Linked DNA regions of Elephas maximus indicus. The protein of the gene in region 2 interacts with the protein of the main gene of each other region in a pairwise test. Links are inferred from orthologs where the notes say so. Each region holds a gene or a part of one and is shown on either strand. Other genes may lie near its edges. The genes, in order: PDLIM1, GFAP and PIAS2.

Region 1 (4,837 bases), on a different chromosome or scaffold from region 2:
GTACAGTTCAAATAAGAAGCAGAAATCAGACCAGCACCAGATCTCAGACGGCCACCCCAGGGCCCTTTTAAGACAAGGACCTTCCTATTCCCAGGAAGTGAGCAGGCCCATGTCTTTTCCATGTGGAAGCAATGAGATAATGAGAAAAGAAATTACTACCAGCATGACAATGCTACCACCTTCCCTATGTCACTTTCACACTTTCATTAAAGCACCTGCCAAGGGGTATTGTAAAGATTAGCTCCCGCCCTCCTCCCAAAAAAAGAGGTTAGCTTCCCTCACTAGACCATGAACACCTTAACAATAGAGCTATGTCTTCCCATTTCTGGGTCCCTAAGGCTTTGTATGGAAACTCTTGTGGTGTGGTGGTTAAATGCTACGGCTGCTAACCAAAAGGTCGGCAGTTCAAATCCACCAGGCGCTCCTTGGAAACTCTATGGCGCGGGTCTACTTTGTCCTATAGGGTCGCTGTGAGTCGGAATCGACTCGACGGCAATGGTTTGGTTTTGGGGCTTTAAGGCTTTGTATAAGGCCTCTGGGAGGTAAGCGCTCGGCTGCTAACCGGAAGGTTGGCACTTCAAACCCAAACAGAGGATCATGGGAAGAAAGGCCTGGCAATTAGCTTCTGAAGGACCACAGCTGTGAAAACCCTATGAAGCAGAGTTTACTCTGACACATATGAGGCAACCAAGAGTCAGAATCCACTCAACAGTAACTGGTTTGTTTTGGTTTTTAAGGTTTTGCACAGTAGCACATAGCACCTGCTCATTAAGCATGTGCTGATGAACGAATGAATACATGAAGGTACAAACAAATGCATTCAGAGTCTGGTGTTCCACACCATGCCATCATTCCTGCACAGTGCCACTTGCCTTAAGATTTTTTAAGGCAGCTAAAATGACAGGCGGTATCTGCCCTTTTAACAGATTGCCCATACATCCTCTACTACTTAAAAAAAGGTTTCACGTCATATATAAATCTCCGAAGTGGAGAGAGCTGACGGGTTAATTATAGACACAAAGAGCAGGGGCAAATGGACTATGAGGTAAGCGAGTCTAAATGTGCAGAGGCAATGCCTACCCAGGGCAAGCATTTATTAATAAGCCACAAGGATTCACCCACACTGCCAGATTTCACTCTGTGCCAGGCTCGGGGGCGGAGGTCTCCATGTGGGGAAGGCATAGTTCCTGCGATTGAGGAATTCGGCTGGTGGCTGGGAAGACTGCGTGGACTTGTGAGAATAATCAAGGAAGTCCAGTAGGACAAGGTGTGCAGGTGACCGACAGGGCCAAGAATTAGGACACCTGCTTTTGGGAATGGAATAGTCAGAGGAGACCTCCCGACATGGCAAGGCCCACCTGGAAAGATTGGGGGGTAGGATTGGGACTGGCAGAGAAGGCCTCCTCTCCTCCTGTACCTCCTTCCATACTCCTTCAGCTGCTGGAGGCAGGGACTTAAGTCAAAATGACCTACAGGCACCTTCCCAGACTATTCAAGGAAGAGGAGTATTTAGAAGATGGGAGGGGGGTCGGGGAGCAAGTTTGAGCTGTGCCTCTGACTCAGATGGGCCCAAAGGGGCCTCCAGGCAGGGCATAGCTGCCAAAGGGTGGGCTTCTGTTCCCTTTCTTCAATCAAAAAACATTCATTATGCCTTCTAGGCACAGGCACTGAATGTGGCAACTTGCAGTGGGACATCAGCTGTGTTTGGACCACGCTAGACAGCCAACAGTTAAGAGCTTGATAACAAAAGGTTGTTGGTTTGAACACACCTACCCTGCTGCTCCTCCAGAGAAAGACCTGGCGATCTGCTCTGGCAAAGACTACAGACTAGAAAACCCTATAAGGCAGTTCTAGGCTGTGACCATAGTCATATGGGGTCGCTTTGAGTGGAAATCGTCTTGACAACACCTAACAACAGACGGCCAAAGCCTGAGCCTACACACTCCCGTCTCTGATCTGGGTCTCCCTAGGGTTGCCACTTTATTTGGGGGTGATGGGTCTGGTGGTCCCAGATCGAGCCTGGGCCCTTCCAAACACATGAGCCCCCCGAAGTTTTCAAGAACACCCCCAAACACACGGGGTGGGAATCCCACCCCACCCCAGTACCAACTCCTTCATCCCCTGGGGATGATAATTCGGGAATGGCTGGTGGAAAGACGTAATGGCCACCACCCGCAGGAAAGAATGACCAAGAAGCTTATCTGGGGTTAGTTTGTTTGTTTCCAATACTCTGCTTTTCTCCGAATGGCAGACCGGGCTATGGATCAAGTCCCGAGAGTGGAAAACTAGTTGTTTCGGTTGTTGTTTTGTTAACCCCACACGCCACACAGTAAACTTTCCACCCATTCCACCTCACTTTCCAGGTCTTTCCTGCTGCTTCCAAACTGCTTTCTGCCGCCCTGAGTCTTAAGAGCCGGGAAGGCCCATCTCCTAGCGTGCGCGATCTTGGGGGACCCTCATGCCCTCGCGGGTTCACAAGGCGCGCCCACACGAGGAGCTGCGCTTCCGGGGAGGAGGAACGAAAACTGCCCTCTTCTTTCTAGCGGACCCCATAAGTGTACGCCCGGCCACCTGCCGGCTCGCTCGGGAACGCAGCGCCAGGGAAAGAGCGACGGGAGCTGCCCTTCCAAGGCGCGCGGAGAGCGCTTAGCGCGTGGTGTACCCGGCACACCTGGACTCGCCGCTCGGTCCCGGCTCCCGTCCCCGGCGCCCAAAGCTGCCGTCCCCGATAGCGCCCGCGGAGACCCAGGCTCCCCAGGACGCCGGGGCGCGCCGCCCTCTTGCCCAGGAGCGTCCTGCTTTCGCGCGCGTCCCAGGCTGCTCTTACCCGGGAAATGGCGAGCGGCTGCTCGAAGTCCTTGCCCCCCACGAGGCGGAAGCCCCATGGTCCCGGGCCCTGGAGGACTATCTGCTGGGTGGTCATGGCGCGGCGGCAGCGGGCGAGACAGACGGGGTAGGACTGGGCTCCCGGGGCAGCTGTCGGAGAAAGAGCGCGCGGCGCGGAGCCAGCGGCTTGGGACCAAGGCGGGAGGAGGGAGGGCGCGGGCGACTCCGCCCAGTCCGCGTCGCTGCCGCGCGCCCCGCCTGTCCCCTCTCCGCACCCTGCAGTCGCTCCCCGCCCCGCGCGCCGGCTGAGGACACGGCCGGAGTCGGACAGAAAGAGCTCTGGCTCTGCGCGGGACCCCAGCACCACCTCGCTCCTGTCCCCACCCAGCCCCGCCGCTCTCAGCCCCGCTGCCGGTGCTAGGTGAGAGGGCTGGTGCCGACTCACCGCGGAGGAGATAAATATGTATTTGGTCCTTTTTAAAACAGTTTTAAAATGTGCAAAGTCAATCCTCTGAAGTCAGCTCCAGTTTTCTACTTGCATTTTGTAAACGATAATGATGTTTAAAAAGAGCTTTCGTATGATCTCATTGGATGCTAAGAGGCAGTTAAGGGCCTTTAGTCCCATTTTACAGATGAAGTAACTGAGTCCGCCTGAGGTTAGAAGACTTGCCTGAGGCCACAAAGTGGTGTGTTCGGACCACTGACCCAGAGTCCTGAGCTAGACAGCTCCACACAGGGACTATTCTAATGCTAATAAGGCCATAGCACGATTTTATAATTGGACTTCCTGATCACTGGGTTGGGTGGGATCTGCCTGGAAACCTTTCCTCCAGGCTGGAGTTCCCCTAGGTTCCCACCTTCTCAACAGTTAGTTCATGGACGATTTATACCTCAAGTCTGGGGCAGGCCAAGTGCTAAGTGCATGGAAAGGGCACTGGGCTGAGTCAGAGGACCTGGGTTCCCAGCCTGACACTAGCCCTCTATCTGGGCTCCCTGCCCTCCTCCCCCTAGACTGCATTCTTCTGACTCCCCACCTTCCTCAGAGTAAAAGCCCTAATCCTTAAAACTCTCATAGGATCAGTCACAACTACCTCTCTGACCTCACTTCCTGCTGCTACAGGCTCCCTGGCTCCAACCACACTGTCCTCTTTACTCTCTTTCAGGGCCTTGCATTCTCCATCTGTCTGGAGTGCCCTTCTCCCAGACACCCCCAGGGTTATCTCTTTGTTCTTGTTCTCCTCTCAGTGAAACCTGCTCTAAGCACCTATTTAAAACTTACTCTCTTTTTTTTTTTTCTCTAGAAGGGAGCCCTGGTGACGCAATGGTTAAGCCCTCGCCTGCTCACGGAAAGGGGCGGGGGTGATTACAAACGCTGTAGTGGGTCCACAGGAGAAAAACCTGGCTATTAGTCCCATAAAGATTACAGCGTGGGCAACTTCTACTCTCTGTTGTAGGATCGCTATGAGTTGGAATCCACTTGAGGGCACACAAAAATTCCTTCAGCTTTCCCTGCTTTATTTTTCTCCATTGCGTTTATTACTACCTGATGCTTCAGTGATCAAGCACAGGGCTGCTAACTAAAAGGCCAACTGTTTGAACCTACTAGCCACTCCACAGAAGAACGATGTGGCAGACGACCTTCGAAACCCTATGGGGCAGTTCTACTCTGTCTTATAGAGTCGCTATGAGTCCGAATCAACTCAACAGCGTGAGGTTTGGACATAAACCTTGAAAGAGGCCTGGAAGTCTTCTGAAAGGTCACAGCCGTGAAAACCCTGTGGAGCAGTTCTCTGCAATATGTGGGATCACCATGAGTTGGAATCAATTCAGTGGCAACTGGTTTGCTTTTTGGGTTGACGTATTCTTTCTTTAATCTGAGAAAAAAGGCGTAGAGTTACAACCAGTAACCAACCACCAACACCAAAATTGCATCCTCTTTCATTAAGATCCCGTTACTTAGCAAACATGCTAGTGTTTCAAGTCCCTGCCAAATTTTAAGGGCAATCAACAA
Region 2 (4,837 bases):
AAAAGGGGAGACCGCACACTGTGACTTGCCCAGCAACATGGAAGGGCAAGCCACCCTCCTCGCCACAGAAAATTGGGACAAGGATGAATAGCACAAGGATTCATCCGCAGTCTTGCTCTTCCTTTAAAGCCTCCATCTGTTCCCAGCTCCCCAGCCCAGCAGGATCAAAGGTCAGTGGGTGCCCCCTCCTAACGATGACCCTCCCCATGCTACTGGTCAAGACTCAGAGTTACATGTGGCTAGAGACTCAGGAACTCTCACCTCTGCCCCTCAGAGCTGGGACTCTCAGGGGAAGCCCTCATGTCTGGCCCTAGCAGGCAGCAAATACCCGGTGTGTGGTGGGGGGTATTACCCGGACAGAGGCTCAAGGGCCTGAGCTGGCTGAGAGCTGAGGAGGAGCGGGCAGCCTCCTCTGGCAAGCTGGAGACCTGGCAGTGCCGAGCTGGCCACCCCCAGGGCCTTTCCCTCATGCCCACTGGATGACTCACCTTGGCACAGACACAATGGTACGGGGTGGGCACAGAGCCTGCTTCCCGCTGCACCCAGCCCCCTCAGATGCTTTCCGAGAAACTCATTGAGCAGAGGGCTCAGGCTGCGCCCTGGCCTGACAGCCTGCCATCTTGGGAAAAAAGCAGCACAGCCCCCTGGGGGGCTGCCCTTGAAGTGTGGCACCCTCACCAGCAGTGGAGAACAAGGCTCCTTTCAGCAAGTGCCTGGGGAAAGGAATGGGAGGCCCAGGCATGGACAGTGGGCTATGGCGATGGGGGGGGGGGCATGGAGGGCTATCCGCTTCCCAGAGGTCCAAGGACACATATTGGCAAGGGGCTGGGCAGGGGGAAGAGGTGGACCTGGCTCCCGGCCTATACACAGTGGCTCCCGATTTCCCAAACTTACCCATCCCTGGAGGCTTTTCCCATCTTCCCAGCCTGATGTGTGGGAACTCAAAGGTGATACATCTCCAGCAGGAGAATGAGGGGGTGGCCAGGGAAACAGGGTGTCACAACAACAAAGATGTGAGCAGGGACAGCCAGGTCATTGGTAACTCCTTTGTGGAGCTGTCAAGGCTCAGGAAGGGAGTACAATGAGGCCAGGCGGGGTCTCAAGAGTGGCCCAGGGAGAGGGTCGGGAGTACAGTGTTGGGCCCTCTTCCATACCGGGATCCCCAAAGCCTCTTCTGTCAACCCCCAACTGCTAGATAGAGACTCAGCTGACCGTCCAAACAAAGGGCTGGAGTCCAGTCCAGCTCCCAGCCCCAGAACTCCTGGGAAGGGTGAGGAAGTGGGAATGGCAGATGTCTGTGTCCAGAGGGGAGGATGTCCAGGAAGCTGTCAGGAAGGGGGCTGGGTAGGAAACTGTAACATAAGCTGTTCCTTGAGAGTCTGGAACAGGTTTGTTATTCGCCAAATTCCCATCATCAAGCAGGCACTCGATGGGTGAGGGGATGCCTGGGTGATGGAATTTGAGAGTTAGAAGGTAGGTTAGATGTCCCCTGATTCAGCCCCTTCTTGACCCACCTTCCTAGAAAGGGGGTCTCCTTGTCCAGTGGCTAGGGCCCTAGACCCAGAACCTGGTCCCAGGCACTACCCATCAGTGCCCCTCCCTGACTGTGGCCCAGGCCAGGGCTGGCATGCCCAGGAAGCCCTGCCTCTGGGCACAGTGACCTCGGTGGGGTGAGAGGAGCTCTCCCCATGGCTGGGCTGCGGCCCAACCCCACCCCCTCAGGCCATGCCAAGCGGTGTTGCCAGGGCAGCCTGGGCAGTGCCAGGCCAGCCCACTCCTCCATAAAGCTCTCAGATGCCAGAAGCAGGCAGAGCCCGGCCCTGATGGAGCGGAGACGCATCACCTCGGCGGCCCGCCGCTCCTATGTCTCCTCCTCAGAGACCATGGTGGGGAGCCTGGGTCCCGGCCGCCGCCTGGGGCCTGGCACCCGCCTCTCTCTGGCCCGAATGCCCCCTCCACTCCCGACCCGGGTGGACTTCTCCCTGGCTGGGGCACTCAATGCCGGCTTCAAGGAGACACGGGCCAGCGAGCGGGCTGAGATGATGGAGCTCAATGACCGCTTTGCCAGCTACATTGAGAAAGTGCGCTTCCTGGAGCAGCAGAACAAGGCACTGGCTGCCGAGCTGAACCAGCTACGGGCCAAGGAGCCCACCAAGCTGGCCGATGTCTACCAGGCAGAACTGCGTGAGCTGCGGCTGCGGCTCGACCAGCTCACCGCCAACAGTGCCCGGCTCGAGGCGGAGAGGGACAACCTGGCGCAGGACCTGGGCACCCTGAGGCAGAAGTGAGGACGGGTACCGAAGAGAGGGGTTCTTGAGCAGGGGGACTGAGCTCCTGAGAGGGGTGCCACGGGCCTGCAAGGATCTTGGGTGCAGGGCTCTGCCTCCTTGCTCCCTGGGTTTCTCCACCTCTGGGACAAGAAGGCGATCCTTGTTCCACCATACAGTGGGAGGGACCAGGGAGAGGCCTAACACCTCAGAAGATCAGTCCAGGTACTCTTAGCACCTCCCAACCAGGGGAACGCATGGCAGAGACCTGAGTGGGTGGGGTCTTTCAGTTTCATCCACTGCTGGGCCTCCTGACTGCAGGCAGGGCGTTCGCCTTTTCTGAGCCTGGGTCTATATAGAGGAGGTGTGAAAAGGGGAGAAGGTGGGTGTCTACAAGGAGAATGGGGAGGGGAAGGAGGCAGGGGAAACTGCAGGCAGGCCTGGCTTCAGAACACACTCTGCCTATCATCACCTTGTGACCTTAAGCAAGCCACCTCAACCTGTGCAGCCTTGAAGTGGGGGTCATAATAAACCCTATTTCAATAGTTATTTGCCCAGGGTCTGAGAAGCCGCAGGGACACGATGTTTGCTGAGCTGGCAGGGCATGCAGGATGGCCTGCAAGTGCAGGAGGAGTGTGTGTTTGTGCACACAGCAGCAGCAGGTGCTGTGGATGTGCCTGCCTGAGCGGGAGCAGGTCCACCAACTCTGATAAGGCCCCTTGGTAATGAGTTAAAGCAAAGTCCCTGGACTGCTCACCCTGCTTGTCAAGTCCTCTGTCTAGGACCCCTCTGACCCTGGCTCTCCTGCCACTCTACCAGTCCTGGGAGCCTGGGGAGAGACCCGAGAGTCCTCAGAAGAGCTTGGACCCAGGAATGTGTCTTTCCCACCCCAGACTCCAGGACGAAACCAACCTGAGGCTGGATGCGGAGAATAATCTGGCTGCCTATCGACAGGTCAGGGAGGTGGAGGGGTGGGGCAGGGAGGAGGGATAGGCTTGCAGGCAGCCCACTCCAACAGAGCCCCCCCAGCCCAGCCCTCCAGAGCAATGTGCTGCTCCCCCCTGGTCCCCGAAGAAGGGATAAACAAGGCTGGGAAATGTGGAGGAAGAGTCTGGGGTCCAAGTGGCCCTTTGTCTCCTCCCCATTCCAGGAGGCAGATGAAGCCACCCTGGCCCGCTTAGATCTGGAGAGGAAGATTGAGTCACTGGAGGAGGAGATTCGGTTCCTGAGGAAGATCCATGAGGAGGTGAGGCCAGGGCAGAGGGAGGAGGGCCCAAAACAGAGACTGAAATGGACAGAGATGGAGAAAGACGCTCTGAGCCGTCATTTTGGTATTGACTGATAGAGAAACAGAATGAGAGAGAAACAGAGTGAGAGACAGAGAGACAGATACAGAGAGAGACTAAGAGAGAGAGACAGACAAGAGTATCCAACCCCTAGTAAAACGCACACACTCAACGCCCCAACTCCATTTACTGAGTGTTACGATGGGTCCTATTGCCTCATTTTTTTTTTTTTTCCTTCACAACAGCCCAATGAAGTAGAATCCATTCCAGTATCATCCCCTCTTCACAGATTAGGACACTGAGGTGCAGAGGGGTTAAGACACTTGGTAAGGTCACCTAGCTAGTTTGACTCCAACCCCCCTCTGCCATCTGTCTCCCTTAAAATGACAGCCACTTATAAGAACCCCTGAGCTCTGGCCTCAGATCATAGATTCAGAATCCATGTTGCCATGGAATCAGGAACACAGGCACCCCCATTCACAGAAATATAGTCACTGTCCCCCAAGAATGCAGGCACACTCTCAGAGCCAGCTCCGGCCTGTCCAGCTCTGGGAAGAGGACACCATGAAGCCCCAAACCATCCCGTGTCTCCCTTAGCCTGGGCCGTGCCACTTTCTCCAACTAGGGCTGCCCCAATTCCCTTAGCTGTGTCCATGTCCAAGAGGGCATGATGCTGCAGGAAACCCTGGCTGTCGCCTGAGTCCTAAGCCCTGGGACTTTTCTCACGCTGGCCAGGAGGTACGGGAGCTCCAGGAGCAGCTGGCCCAGCAGCAGGTCCACGTGGAGGTGGACACGGCCAAGCCAGACCTCACAGCGGCCTTGAGAGAGATCCGCACGCAGTACGAGGCAGTGGCATCCAGCAACATGCATGAGGCAGAGGAGTGGTACCGGTCCAAGGTAGCCTAACTGTGGGCAAGCCTGTCTCCTCCAGGCAGCTCTCCTTGTACCATACGGGAGAATTGGGAGGGAGGATGCAGGAAGGTGGGAAAGGATCTTCTCTGGGTTACTGACCTCTGGAGAAATGAAGTGACTTGTCCAGGGTCACACAGGCACTACTACCTCCAATAAGTAAAACAAAACAAAAACCAGACCCATTGCCGTTGGTGGATTCTGACTCATAGTGACCCTATAGGACAGGGAAGAACTGCCCCATAGGGTTTCCAAGGAGCACCTGGTAGATTTGAACTGTTGACCTTTGGTTATCAGCCAAACTCTTAACCACTACGCTACCAGGGTTTCCTCTGAGAACTTATTATTGCGTGCCAGGCCCTGTCCTAAGTGCTT
Region 3 (4,837 bases), on a different chromosome or scaffold from region 2:
CTAGAAGCAAAAATGCTGGCAGGGGTGGTTTGGGGAACATTCAGCAATGTTTTGTAAGGCATCTGTCTTAGGCAACGCCGCCGGCAGTATCTCAACAGCTCTTCAGACACAGCTGGGTTAACTCAACAGATGGGGGTGGAAGGGATAATGGTTTAACTAAGGAAGGGAGCTTAGCAAACAAAGATGGCGGAATCTCTTCAGATGGGAGTAAGAGGGCTAGTTCTGTTGGCAGGAGTGATTTAATGGAATTTAGGGGCTCAATGTCCCCAGCTTCCTGATTATCTACCAATGTGCCCCATCCCACTTTTTGGGATCCCATTTCTTCCCAGTCAGTGTCCTCACTTTAATTTCAGACATCATTCAAGGTTACAAATTCAACTGGCATTGTAATTCAGACACTCTTAAGACTCTGGGTTTGGCTTTTGGCAGCATCAGCTCTGTTACTACAAGAAAGGTGATTTCTTTCAGGGCTCAAGTGGGAACTTTCAGGTCTTTTATATGGCACTTATTTTTTTTTAAGCTGTGACTCTGAAGCCCTGAGCTCAACTCGTTCTTTCACCACTTTGTCCAGCAAAACCACGACCGACCAACCAGCTTATACTTCTCATTTGGATGAAACCGTAGAAAAATATCAAATATGCGATCACCCAGAACCTTATCTCTCACAAATACTTTACCATGGGTGATGTTATTTTGTGTATTTCTATGGCCACCTCATGCCATGGATTAACAGTGTCCTCTTTACTACTAGAGACAGTCATCAGCACCTTTAAGGCTAGCCAGGCTTGAGAAACAATTCAGAAAACTCATCCTCCTTATGAATTTCCCCTCTAGAACCACTCTCAGTACCAAACGTTTTTCTCCAGAGAAGAAAAACCAATGAAGCACGCATATATATATATATATATATATATATATATATATAAATTTATCTCAAGAAAACGGCTCACGCAGTTGTAGAAGTTGACAAGTCCCAAACCCATGGGTCAAGCATCAGACTAAAGGCTTCTCCTGACTCACGTGGTTGCGGTAGCCAACAAACCCAAAATTGGAAGGTCAGGCGGAAGGCTGCTGGCTCACATGGCTGCGGGAGCTAAGGAATCCCAAGATCTGCAGATCGGGCAGCAAGTTGCTGGCTCACGTCCCAAGAACAGAAGTCAGAGGATGACCGATAGGATACAGGATCCAAGAGAGAGTTTTGCCAGAACATTCATATATACATACTGGCTGCAGGCTGCGCCCCTAAGGAAACTGATTGGCTTTCGACTGAATGGTCTTTCAACAAACTGGCTGTTCACATCATATCGCAAAATGGAGAATAATTACATAATACCTGCCAAACCACTGGGAATCATGGCCTAGCCAAGTTGACACATAACCTTAACCATCACAGCTGCTAAAGTGGCTAAGGCAAAGATGAACATGGATAACTTTTCAAGCATCTGCCCAGCCCATATCCTCCCCTCCTCTGAGAACTCTCCCTGGTTAGTCTCTGTCGGTCACCTGAAGTCAACTGTAAGGGAAGGGCCATCTTCTATCAAGTGCAGGGAGAAGCAAAGACAGCTGATCCACACAACAAAATGGAGAGAAAGAAAGAGGGAGAAAAGTTTCTTTGGTTTCTGACCACTTTCCAGTTCCTGGTTCCACTCCAATGTAAGCACCGTTTCTGCCCTGTACTGGTAAATAAATCCTCTGCTTTTTTGTTAAGCTTCAACAACATTTATAAAAGTCTAACACAAGTTCTGGAAAAGTTCTCATCAATAAAAATAATAGGAAGAGAAAAATTTGCAAATATTTGTCACTACACAAAAATTACTACCGCAGGTGAGAATAATTTCAAAATGCAGTCTTCTAAACCTAATACATGGATTTACAGAAGTGAAGCTCAAGCATGGTTTTTTCAAAAGCTCTACAGGTGTTAAAACCTCCAACCTGAGGTTCATCAGCCACTAAAACCCTTACTTGAACTTGGCAATATGAACATCCTTTTCTTATCATGGTCCTCTATATAAACTAGTCCAAAAACCAAAACCAGCGCCGTCGAGTGGATTACAACTCACAGCGACCCTACAGGACAGAGCAGAACTGCCCCATAGAGTTTCCAAGGAGCCCCTGGCGGATCTGAACTGCCAACCCTTTGGTTAGCAGCCGTCGCACTTAACCACTACACCATCATAAAATGCATGAACATGGCTTTTCTACTGCATTCTAATTCCTTTTGGGGGGGGCGGGCGGTGGGGGACAAATGGCAGGCATTATGTAAACTACAACAATCTCCTTTCGACCAAAACCAAGAATATGTTCTTCTGTAAGTTACTAGCCAGGTAACAAATGACTTTCCTCCACCAGATCCCTCACCGAAAAGTAACATACAAAACTGACTCTTTTAACAGATTCTTCTTCCTTCTTATTCCAAAAAAGTAACCCTAACATCATAGTCTATGTTACGCAAACTGGCTGCAGTTAACTTAAAGTTGACATTCATTCCTATTTTGAAATATATATTTTTAAGTATCAGGGTTCCCGTCCTTACATATTCTATTTACATAAACCCGGACATAAAAAAAAACATAGCGACCATAAAAAATAAATCCGGCTCATTTGTCACACTTAGTTTTCTTTCAGTTAAGGACTCTGAAGGTTATCAGTCTGAAGGAAAAAAAAAAAAATTCTGCTAACCTCCATTATACTCCATTACAAATGTCTACTATACAAAGATAACTATCAAGTTATGACCTTGCTCTAAGGCTAGGAAAAAAATTTTTTTTTCCTCAAGAGCAAAGCAAATTCACTGACAAAAAAAAAAAAAAAACTCATGACAACACAGACTTTCTAGATTTCTTACCATGGTACCAAGAAAATATCGATTACTGAAGGCAAGGCTCCCAAAAGATCACGCTTCCAATATGTGGAGGAAACACTGGTTGGAGGAAGGGGCCTTTTCTTGTGACAGACCTGACTACACGGTATCATCAGCCACAGAGAGGAGAGAAACATTCTCGAGCGCAACTTCACCTTTCAGAAAATAGTCTTCCTCCAAGTAAGTGGCATGTAGACTTCTCAATCGCCATAGACACGTACACCCCTTGCGAAGGTGGAAAATAAAACGCTGTTTTTTACCTCAGACCTTAAACGGGGAAGTCGGGTCCCACGTGCCCCTCCCCAGGGCGGCCCCTACCCCCGCGCCAGGTGCCTGGATTCGCCAACAGGACCCAGAGGCGGGCTCGCCCTCGGCCCCAGGCCCACAGCACCCGCAAGGCCCAGGCGTCCTCCGCCGACTCGCTCCCCTCCCCCGCCCACTTGGGCGCCGGCTCGGACGCGCGCCGGGAGTCGGGGTCGGCCAACCGGTCCCGGCAACGAGAAGGTGGCAGCAGACGACGTTGCGGCTTCCCCGCCTCCCCTCCCCCCGGCCTCTGCGCTCCACTCCTGGCCCCTGCTTACCCTCAACTCTTCGAAATCCGCCATTTTATACCAGCCGCGGACGCTGCCGCTACTGCTACCACAGCACCCCCTCCCACTGCCGCCAACAACGCCGCCGCCACCAGGGCCGCCGCCGCCGCTTCCAGCACCATCCTGCACTGGGCGCCGCTAAAGACGCCGCGGCCACAGCCGCCGCCGTCGCCGCCGACGCCGCCGGGACCCTCACGTGACTGGCACGGGAGCTCCGCCCCCGGCGCGCCGCTGCCCCGCCCCCGGTCTCCCCTGCCCAGCCCGGCCACCGCCTTCCGCCCGCGCCTTCTCCCACGCTCTTGCGCGCGGCTCTCTTCGCGTTAGATCCCTCTCTCTCCTGCGACCCGCACGTCTTCTTGCGTCTGGTTCTGTCGCCTTGCCTTCCTCAGCCCTCGTTGTCACTTCCCTCCACATCGCGACGCCGGTCCCGACTCCGTGAAACGCAGCAGCGACTGCAGCCTTACCGGCAGGCTTAAGGAGGATCTGGCCCGGGGAAGTGGCAGAGAGGAAGAGATGGACGGGACTTGTGACAGGAGCAGTTCGGCAGAATTCTTATGGTGTCCTTCCACGCAGTGGCTGTGGACCGAGGAAGCAGCTGCAATAAAAGCATTCCTCAGAGTAGTCGTGGCGGAACAATCTGAATATGGGTGTTGGGTAAGCTATTGTTGTATCTAACGGTACAGGATTGGGGAGATCTCTTTAAACTGCTAACATCCTCAAGTAGGAACCTGGCCCAGCCTTTGAAGGGCGAGGGAATGTCATGGACTGCACAATTGAGACTCTGGGGGGTGAGGGGAGAGTGGAAGTGAAATAAGAGAGCGCTCAGAAGGGCCCTGATAAAAAGTTGAGGGGTCAGGGAAATCAGATAGCTAGGGAAGAACTAATGCCATGGCAGAGGAGCTGGAAGGAAGCTTGATGGCACCCCTAACATGCTGATGAAAGGATGAGAGACAAAGAGGATGCTGAGTCAAGCTGGTATCCGAAAATTCTCTGAACTGAGCCCAGAGTTCAAATTTTCTTGAAGATGTGGGTGGAACCCATCCAAGGAAGGCCTTGAAAACTTAGTGGAACTTACAAAGAGCCGTGTTGAATCTGTCTCCTGTCTAGCTACTTCCCACTCCCCCTCACTCCAGAAACACTGCCCATGTTTCAGTTCCTCCACCAGACTTTTTTTCCCTATGTTTTAACCTGTGAATGCAAATCCCTGGGCCAAGAATAATTTCCCACTTTCATCCTCTTTTCGAACTTCTGTAAATCTTTCAGGTCTCAGTTGAAGTGTCACTTCTTCAGAAAGACCTTCCCTAGCCCCATTTTAATTCATATCCCTCTCATGACCTCTCATAGTACCCTGAACTTTTCCTTGATAGCATTTATCCACGGTAAGTAT

What was found.
Region 1: the proteins of GFAP (region 2) and PDLIM1 interact in binary tests that used the Homo sapiens proteins (3 or more experiments, as listed by UniProt). The link is inferred for Elephas maximus indicus from reciprocal best matches to the Homo sapiens genes GFAP and PDLIM1.
Region 3: the proteins of GFAP (region 2) and PIAS2 interact in binary tests that used the Homo sapiens proteins (3 or more experiments, as listed by UniProt). The two-hybrid records come from large-scale screens. The link is inferred for Elephas maximus indicus from reciprocal best matches to the Homo sapiens genes GFAP and PIAS2.

Annotation. Positions count from the first base shown.
Region 1 is NC_064834.1:47,035,235-47,040,071, forward strand, and holds the start of PDLIM1 (PDZ and LIM domain protein 1), read right to left. Parts: upstream 3,042-4,837; 5' UTR 2,924-3,041; coding exon 2,828-2,923; intron 1-2,827. UniProt on the Homo sapiens protein: Cytoskeletal protein that may act as an adapter that brings other proteins (like kinases) to the cytoskeleton. Involved in assembly, disassembly and directioning of stress fibers in fibroblasts.
Region 2 is NC_064837.1:51,332,226-51,337,062, reverse strand, and holds the start of GFAP (glial fibrillary acidic protein), read left to right. Parts: upstream 1-1,434; 5' UTR 1,435-1,688; coding exon 1,689-2,284; intron 2,285-3,160; coding exon 3,161-3,221; intron 3,222-3,417; coding exon 3,418-3,513; intron 3,514-4,288; coding exon 4,289-4,450; intron 4,451-4,837.
Region 3 is NC_064829.1:55,599,178-55,604,014, forward strand, and holds the start of PIAS2 (E3 SUMO-protein ligase PIAS2), read right to left. Parts: upstream 3,641-4,837; 5' UTR 3,466-3,640; coding exon 3,442-3,465; intron 2,998-3,441; exon of another isoform or gene 2,849-2,997; coding exon of another isoform or gene 2,846-2,848; intron 1-2,845. UniProt on the Homo sapiens protein: Functions as an E3-type small ubiquitin-like modifier (SUMO) ligase, stabilizing the interaction between UBE2I and the substrate, and as a SUMO-tethering factor.